2 linked regions of the Chlamydomonas reinhardtii genome follow. The protein of the gene in region 2 interacts with the protein of the main gene of each other region in a pairwise test. Links are inferred from orthologs where the notes say so. Each region holds a gene or a part of one and is shown on either strand. Other genes may lie near its edges. The genes, in order: CHLRE_06g292800v5 and CHLRE_12g516500v5.

Evidence for each region.
Region 1: the proteins of CHLRE_12g516500v5 (region 2) and CHLRE_06g292800v5 interact in binary tests that used the Arabidopsis thaliana proteins (3 or more experiments, as listed by UniProt). The link is inferred for Chlamydomonas reinhardtii from reciprocal best matches to the Arabidopsis thaliana genes CUL4 and FUS9.

The regions. Positions count from the first base shown.
Region 1 is NC_057009.1:6,457,461-6,461,754, forward strand, and holds CHLRE_06g292800v5 (uncharacterized protein), read right to left. Parts: upstream 2,702-4,294; 5' UTR 2,565-2,701; coding exon 2,420-2,564; intron 2,344-2,419; coding exon 2,270-2,343; intron 2,121-2,269; coding exon 2,043-2,120; intron 1,902-2,042; coding exon 1,832-1,901; intron 1,536-1,831; coding exon 1,435-1,535; 3' UTR 515-1,434; downstream 1-514. Other genes in the region: CHLRE_06g292850v5 (uncharacterized protein), read left to right, coding at 3,300-4,294. UniProt on the Arabidopsis thaliana protein: Component of light signal transduction machinery. Involved in repression of photomorphogenesis in darkness by participating in the CDD complex, a complex probably required to regulate the activity of ubiquitin conjugating enzymes (E2s).
Region 2 is NC_057015.1:3,956,374-3,960,764, reverse strand, and holds the start of CHLRE_12g516500v5 (uncharacterized protein), read right to left. Parts: upstream 2,823-4,391; 5' UTR 2,685-2,822; coding exon 2,576-2,684; intron 2,439-2,575; coding exon 2,323-2,438; intron 2,088-2,322; coding exon 2,028-2,087; intron 1,863-2,027; coding exon 1,611-1,862; intron 1,362-1,610; coding exon 1,212-1,361; intron 942-1,211; coding exon 861-941; intron 642-860; coding exon 366-641; intron 163-365; coding exon 34-162; intron 1-33. Other genes in the region: CHLRE_12g516450v5 (uncharacterized protein), read left to right, coding at 3,077-3,200, 3,287-3,430, 3,517-3,713, 3,951-4,175. UniProt on the Arabidopsis thaliana protein: Component of the CUL4-RBX1-CDD (COP10-DDB1a-DET1) E3 ubiquitin-protein ligase complex which mediates the ubiquitination and subsequent proteasomal degradation of target proteins. Participates in the CDD complex to light-mediated control of development.

The sequences.
Region 1 (4,294 bases), on a different chromosome or scaffold from region 2:
AGGGGCCAGGGCGAGAGCACGAGCTATGCAGCACAGTGAAGCCCACCACTGACAGCAGCAGGCAGGGAGGGGTGGGGTTTGAGCTGGAGCCTTGGAGGTTCAGGCCTTCAGGGGTAGATGCGGCCTCACTGCGCCTTGGGTCCCATGGCCCTAAGCTGCGTCCTCATGCCCATCATGGTTCCACGGACTGGGAAACTTGACAAGCCAGGACAAGCAACACCCCAACCCGCCCGGCGCCCGCCCCTCGCTGATGCGACGCGTTGCATTGCTCAAACCCGTGTTACCCATCAACAGGCACACCCTTGTCCGCTCCCTCCGCCGCCAATGCACCTGACCGCATCACTGCATCCATCCGCTGATTGCGTTCACTGCATGCTTACGGGCGCTGGGCACTCCTGTGCAAGACCCGGTCATGCTGCTGGTCCTGTGGGACCGCCCCACGCACGATACCCTCTGCAACGGGGTCTCGAGGGGTCACCCTGTTCTTCGTGGTTGTACGGCGCGGTGTGTTGTGCATCCCTTGTGTATTAAATTATACGCGTTTCATCTCTGGGTGAGCATGGGGTGACTGTTGCTGCCTGCAATGCCTAGCAAACATACAACTCATCACCCACAATCAACAGAGGCGGCCAGCTAACAACAGTATAGGCGTCCCTTGAAGGGCTGAATGCCAGATAGACCTGACCTAGACCTGCCACGCCTAGCACCAGCTCACGTACACGGTGGTGCCGACGACCGCTCTCAGCCGTCAAATAAGGGTGTGGGCTGACTCGCTCTGCCGCATGTGAAGCGATATGCTCACCACCATGCCAACGCGGCCAGCCATGCACTTCTGCTCTGCCGCTGCAACTGGCTTGCCGTCTGCTTGGGGTATGGGCGTCAGCTGCACCCTACGGGACCTCGCCAACCTGCCTAAACCCTGTCCCATCACACACCATGCCAACGCGGCCTGCTGGCCAATGCCATGGCACTCCGCATCGACCGTCCGCATTGACCTAACTACATGTACTCCTGCAAGGATTCACGCACCGCAATCCTAATAGTACAACACGCGAAACGGTTGGGACGCTGCACAGCGGAAAACTGCAACGTGCACGCCATCTCCCAGTTGCCGCGTGAAAGCCCCTGCTGCCATCGCGCGACCAACTCCTGCTGCAGTCAGACGTGACTCCTAAGCATAAATGCTGGTGTGCATACAAGCGTGGCGCGCATGGGCCAGCGCCAAATCTCCCATTGCGAACTATCCCTGCCGCCATACCCTACTCAGCCCAGCCCTCCACCCCCGTGTGCGGGTGGGAAGCGCGATGGCAGCTTTCGCACGAGACCGGGCGCGCCGAGCTGCGCGCCCGCATGGCCTCTACGCTGCACCACAGCTGCTACAGCTCCTTTGGCTGCTACAGCTCCGCAGCCATTGCTGCTGTTGCGGTCGGGCCTTTAGCCCTGCGCGTAGCGCTTGGTCCACTCCGCGGCCGTCTTGTCGTGAAGCTCGCGGTCCTCCATGTACTGCTTAGCGATGGAGCCCACCAGCGGGTCCTCTGCAGCAGCGCAGAAAGGTAGGGAGGAGGGTGCGGATGAACCGTGAGTGGGGAGGCATGCAACGCAGCCGCATGTGCGTCGGGCGCGGGAAGTGATTGGTGCCAATACGGCGCAGCACTGCAGCCCCTGTGGCAGCGCTGCACTTCCACGCTCCCAACAACGCATGATTCGTGCTGCGTGATGGCCAGCTGCGGCTGGACACCCGCCATTGACTTTGCCTTACAACAACTAGCCTAGAACAACCTGCCACACATATCCCAGTTGGTGCTACACGCGCTCGTAACGTGTTCCTTACTGGGGTTGCAGTCCGTGAGCAGTGAGCAGATGGACAGCAGCACTTTAGAGATGGTCAGCGCCGGGCTCCACTGCGTAGAAGAAGTATACAAAGGCGAGGAGGGGAGAGGGTCAGCTCCTCCGTTGGGTTGGGTGCAGGCCCAAGCGAAGCGAGTGGGCCTGGCAGGCCTCGTGCCAGACCTCCCCCTTTTGCGCCATCCAGCATCGCGCACCTGGTCTTTGAGGATGTCCAGGCAAATCTGCCCTTGGCTGTTCACGTTGCAGTGGTAGATGCGCGTGCGGAAGACAATCTGCGCGTCGGCGTGACACCCGCGAGCCCAAACGCGCTAGGTTAGTACACAAACGTTATCATCCCGTACGTCTGCGAGAAGGGTTCAAGGCGATTGCCTCACAAAGCAGCGCGAATGCCGACAGCTGGGGCCCCAGCCAGAGCTCTAACCTTCGGTGGCTTGAACGGATAGTCGTGCGGGAAGGTGATGTCTAGGAAGAAAACGCCTCCCGAGTAGGGGCATCCTGCACTCAAGTGGGAGCAGCAGGCTCAGCACAGCCGCGCAACCCAAGGGTTCTTCAGCTGCGACCTTGTCCTCACCTGATGGTCCCACAATCGTTGACACCCACTCATATAGGTTGTCACCCTTTGGCCCAGCCGAGCAGTTGCAGGGCGGGTCCAAGCTAATCTCTGCGAGCTCCTTCTGAATGCGCTTCGCCGATGAGGAGAGCTGGCTGCCCTTCATCCTCTACTTCCTCGCCAAATGCAGCGCCAAGGATGGTTTGAATACTATCACAGTGGCTCACAGTGCTTCTCACGTCTTGAAATTGGAGTTCTGAGGCTCGCTCTTCTGCCCTAGAAGTGTCCAGCTTGTAAGTTATATAATTGGTGGCACAGCTTATGTGGAAGCTGGTGGAATGACCTGATGGCCATGATTTGGGGCGCATCCGCGCATGAGCCCGGGAACTCGAAATCCAGCGAAAATGGACAGCGGGCCTGTAGGCAGCGTTGCAGACCTTGAATGCCATTTACCTTTGTATACCTCACCATATACATTCATCCCCTGACAGACTGTCCCCACGTAGCAGACCGGGCAGCGGTAGCCGAGTGCCATTTTCAGTTTTCAAAGCAAGCGCGCAGAGCCAACACCAGTGACACACGCCGGGGACAACGTCTGAGACCTTGACATCTTCAGATAAACACAAGCACTCAGGTGCAAGGCACGTAGGGCAGACGTAGGGCAGCATTTACGTGAACCGTCGCAGCCCTTTCTTCTAACAAGCGCCTCGCGCGAGTCTTGGCAGCGTCAGTACTGATGACATTGACTCGACGTGCCAGTGCAGCTGCGGCCGCAAATGGGGCCCAGGTCGCAGCGCCTGTGCAAACGCCGGCAATAGCAAGAGGCGGGCGTGCAGCTGCGTCCAAGGCGCGAGCAGCTGAGCCAGAGGTCGCTGTTGCCGCGGAAGAGCACGGCGACGTCATGGCTGTGGACGCCACAGTAACTATAGCAGCGACAGTGAGCAAACGAGGGCACAGCTCCGCGTCGGCTGCAAAGCAGCAGCCGGCCGTGGCATTTGAGGAGCCCCAGCAACAAGAGCAGCCCGCGAAGCGGCCACGTGGCCGGCCGCGGAAGTCGGTGCCCGCGGAGCAGGGTGTGGTTGGGGCACCAGCGCTGACGCCCGGCAATGCAAGCACCGAGCAGGAGGAGATCGATGAGCCTGCGGCCAAGCGCGCGAAGAAGGGAGGCCGGACGCCCAAGCCGGCCGTCGCCGCGGCCGCCGCCGCCGTGCTTGCAGGCGCCGAGGAGGTGCTGCGGCTCACGTCGCCCAGGCGCTCTCCGCTGGCCCCAGTTAAAGACTCGGCCCCGGCCGCCACCTCCAGCGACAGCGCCAACGGCACGACCGATGCGCCCTCCACGGCCGCCAACGGAGCTCCCGGCGCCGGCCCGGCTGACGCCTCGCACCAGCTGCAGCCGCACGACAGCAGCACTGCCTCTGTAGCAGCCGGCATCGGCGCCACCGCGGCTGCCGCCACCATGCCGGCGACTGTGTCGCCGGTGCTGGTCGGTAGCCCCTCGCGAGCGACCGCGCGGCCTCTGCTAGCGTCGCAGCTGCTGCGCAGCCCGCCGGCCTCACCGCGCCGGCCGCTGGTAGCCACCGCCGCTGCGGCTGCGGCCGCTGCAGCGGCCAAGGCTGCTAGCCCCAAGCCAGCGCCGGCTGTAGCGGCCACCTCTGCAGCTGACCCGGCATCGACGGCAGCAGTGGCCGCACCTGCGGCAGACACCGTGGCAGCACCCACAGCCGGAACGACCCTGGAACAGACCGTCGCGCAGGTGCGGCGGCTGCTGCAGACCGGCGCCCTGGCCGGCACCCTGCTCAGTAGCGCCGCAGCGGCCGGCGCCGCGCCTGACTCCAACAGCGCCAGCGCCGCGACCGCACCTGCCGCGGGCACTGCCGGCAACGGCGCCAGCACCTC
Region 2 (4,391 bases):
TGGCCATCCCCGCCGCCTCCCACCGGATCGCACCTGGTTGATGAAGTACTCAAAGCTTTCTTTGAGGGTGGCGGCGAAGGCCTCGCTGCGGCCGAAGGCGCCCGCCACCACCTCGTCCAGCCGCGACTTGAGGTCCAGCAGCCGCTCCACCATCTCCTTGTCCTGCAGCAGGGGGCGGGGGCAGCGGGAGGCAGTGGGGCGGAGCAGCGGTGCATTCGCGACATAGCAGCGGCGAGCTCCCATGCTGGCATGGGCCGCATGGCGCAACACGCGCAAGCAGCCTCCACACCTAGGCCCAGCCAGCCTCCGCCCGTCACCTCCTGCACCCCAAGCCCTTCCTGCTCCGCTCGCCACCGCCTCCGCACCTTCTCCTCGTCCTTGACCAGCGCCAGGCCGGTGGAGCGCACGTACTCGCGGAACGCCGCCCGCAGCGCCTCGCTCGCGCCTACCCGCCCCAGCAGCCCATACAGGCGGCCCAGGTCACCCACACGGTGCCCGTCCAGCAGCGGCCCCAGCCCCCGGTCCAGCAGCGGGCCGGTGTGCCGCGCCACCAGCGCGCCCTCCACCGCGGCGATGAGCGGGCGGCGCGAGGAGGCATCCAGGTACTCGCTGCAGCGCTCAAACTCCTCGCCCAGCCGCGTCTGCGTGGGCGAGGGGAGGGCAGGACCAGGGCGAGGGGAGGGCAGGACCAGGAGGCGGAAGCATGGTGTGTGCGGGAGGAGTAACGAGGCGTGACATGGCAGCAGGCTGGTGCGACCGCGGGCAGGCACCTCATCGCAGGTGCTTTACCCGCCCCCAAATGCTTTGGTACATAAACCGCCCTTCCGAGGCCTCGCCTCTGCCCCTGCTCCTGGCCGCACCTCGCAGTGTTTGAGGTAGGCCGGCACGTCCAGCTCCGCCACTAGCCGCTCGCCCTCGGACCGGTAGAACTGCCCGCTCGCCTGCAGGTAGGCACGGACACGCACAGGCACATGCGCATGGTGTGGTGCACGCCGCGCTAGACACACGCCACCAACAACCAATTGCCTGCGCCAGTGACACAGTTTCCGGCATTCGCACCCCTCCCCCTTCCCCATGCCCCACGGCCCACGGCATGAAGCTTCCGGCATGTCCCGCTCCGCCCGGTACCCATGTCGCATCCCCCCCGCCCTCTCACCCCGCCCCTGCCTCCTCCAGAGCACCATTGCGCCAAGCCCCTAGCCCAGCCACACCTTCATGAATGGCTCATGGAAGGCGTCCGTGTAGATGCCCAGTGAGGACAGCATGCGCAGCAGCCGCTGCAGCAGGGCCCGGTTCACGCCTTCGCCGCAGCGCTCCCGCTGCACCAGCTCCAGCAGCCCCTCTACTGTGCGCTCCTTGATCTGCGCAGCAGGCGGGCGAACGGCATGTTGGCAGGGCCACCAGCAGCACCACCGCTCACGCCCATACACAGCCGCGCAGTCGACCACCTGCGCGGCCCTAGCTCCAGCGACCTGTACCTGCGTGGCCGTAGGCCGCAGGCCCCGCCGCGAGCTTAGGCCCCACCTCGCAGCCCTCAACTCTCCCACCAGTCCCTGCCAGTCCCCCAGCCGCCACCTCCCCCGTCCTCCTCCACTACCGCCACCGCCCACCTGCGGCCGCTCCGCCAGGTGTGTGCGGAACAGCGCCAGCCCCATGTCGAATATGGACTTGACGGGCGTGGCGCTGCTGCTGAGCTGCAGCACGTGCGTGCGGTCCAGGTACAGGAAGATCTGCCGCGTCAGCAGCATCTGGCTGCAGTGGTCCTGCCACACGCTGTCCACACGGTCCAGGTACGGCACCGCGTCCAGACCCAGGCAGTCGCCCAGCGAGCCCACGTGCGCCGCGATGTGCGCATCACACTCCTATGTCGGGTATCGTCATAAGTCATGTGGCGTGGCGTGTGGCGTGTGTTGAGGCCCGCCGGCCGTGTGAGGTTGCAGGTTATGCAGGTGTGAGGTATTGTGCGAATAGGGCTGCGCGTGAAGCAAGGCCGAGCCCCAACGTCAGCCCGCCAGCCCGCCCCACACCTTTTGCAGGCGGGTGTAAAGCTTATCCGCCATCTTATGCATGCACATATCCTGAACCGCCTGCGGGGGGTGATTGCGGCCATGAGGTGTGGGACACACAGTCATGCGACCACGGCAGCGGAAAGCAGCGGGCCCTTCGGACAGGTTGGTTGCATGCAACCGACGGCGCCGGCGCCAGTACGCCGTACACGATGCCTGTGTACCAGCTTGCCATGCAACCCAACCCTCGTCGCAATCCAACACCTTATTCGGCGCCCCTCAGAACAGAGCCCGGTCGGCCGGCCGAACTTCCCACCGTGTACAGCTCCTCCAGGCTGTTGGACACGGGGCGTTTGCAATGCACCGCAATGATGCAATCGCGCAGCTTGCTCCATGTCGACTCCTCGAAGTTGGCGGGGAGCTCGGGCTTGACTGGGCAGCGCCGAGGGGTAGGCAGGGGTGCGCACACACGCGTGACCGGGCGAGCCACAAAACCTTTTCCACAACCCCCACTCCGTAATTTTCGGGTAGAGCGCACCAGATGCAGCAAGAGGGACCCCGTACCGCACCTTTAAGCGGCTTGATGACCAGCTTCTTCGCCTGCTGCGTGTTCGCGCTTCCTGCGACAGGGGCGAGACCCCCAAGCGGGGCCCCGCCCTTGCCTCTTACTGCTGACATCCCCGCTCCTCGCAAGTTTTATTGAACAGCAACCATTCCCCGGAAACTGCACGCGTGGCAAACGCGAGCGAAAGAACCTGTGCAACGCGCTATGTTGCTTCTCGCGAGTATGTTTCGTGACGCGAGCTGATGTATGACACTGGATATAACAAGCGAAATGCGGTTAGGAGCAACTGGATAATCGTGCAGAAGAGAGGCAGAAGAAAACATTTGCTCTGCATCATGGGCTTGTCCTACTCTTGCCCCATATGCCCTCTCAACGCTGGTGCAGTCACAAACTAGTGTCTTTAGGTATATTACTTTGTACTGAGGCAAGAACCAGGGCCAGAAGGCCCGCGTGTTTGCCTATTAGAGTTGCATCCTTCTTCCCTGAAGATTTGCCCTCAGCAACCATGAATCCCATCAATGGCCTGAAGACTATTCTGCATCGCGTGGGCTTTGCCATGCGGGAGAGCGGCCAGGCGCTGGAGCGCGTGGGCTGCAGGCTGCAGGGCGTTTACTCGTTTGAGGAGAAGCGTGAGCTATCGCATGATTTTCATCTGCTGTAGCCTTGTATTGCGATGCCAAGCAGAGGCACTGAAGCGTGGGTCCATTTTCCGCAGTGAACCGGCACGCCACGGTCCTGCCCATGCGCCACAACGTGCCTAGCCTGGACAAGACCTCTTGGGTGGCGCCCTCGGGCATGGTCTCGGGCAGCGTGACGCTTGGCGAGAACAGCTCCGTTTGGTATGGGGCCATCGTTCGCGGTAAGTCGACTCCTTGCCCGTGTATGATGCAGGAGTATGATAATGAGTCCATGTATGTAAACATTGGCAAATGGCTCCCTGCGCAGGCGACTTCCAGCCAGTGGTCGTGGGCTCGAACAGCAACATTCAGGATGCAGCCTACGTGGGCGCCACCAGCGAGTTCAGCGGGCCAGTGACCATTGGTGACAACGTTTCGGTTGGACATGGCGCGGTGCTGAAGGGCTGCACGGTCGGGGACAACGTGCTCATCGGCATGAACTCGATTATTTCGGAGCACGCTGAGGTGGGCAGGAGGGGCCTGCCGGCAACGGCAAGTTTTGACAGTGTGGTGGCGCACCGGTGGCATTGGAACCACACGGGGGTGAATGCGTGCCTCAGGCAGGGGCGGGGAGGTGCGGGTACGTGGCCGTGGTGCCTGGGCCAGCGCCCCCCCACGGGCCTAGCTAGCTTGTGGCCTGGTGCCGCAAACTAATAACAGAGCTTCGGTCTCCGCTGCACGGGTGACTTGTTGCACGTGCAGATCCAGTCGGGTGCCGTCATTGCCGCGGGCTCCTACGTGGAGGAGGGCACCACCGTGCCGTCCGGGGAGGTGTGGGCGGGCAGCCCCGCCAAGAAGCTGCGCGACGTGCGGGCGGGCGAGGCGGAGTACCTCAAATCGCTGCCGGGACGGTACACGGAGCTGGCGGGCGAGCACAAGGGCATCATGAAGGTGCTCAAAATGAAGCAGGCGGAGTACTTCGCGTAAAGCGCAGCGATGGCGATGGTGAAGGAGATAGCAGAGGTCAGCGGTGGCGTTGTGGAAAGCAACGTTGCGATGGGGCTGCAGCGGAGCGCATCAAGTGGCTGCGTACGGCTTAACCATATAGAACGACAAATGTTTGTAGTGGGGAACACTACCGTAGCTAGCGGGGGAGTCGTGAATGAAGCAAAGCATTGAGGATTTGAGGTACGGGGCTCAGAC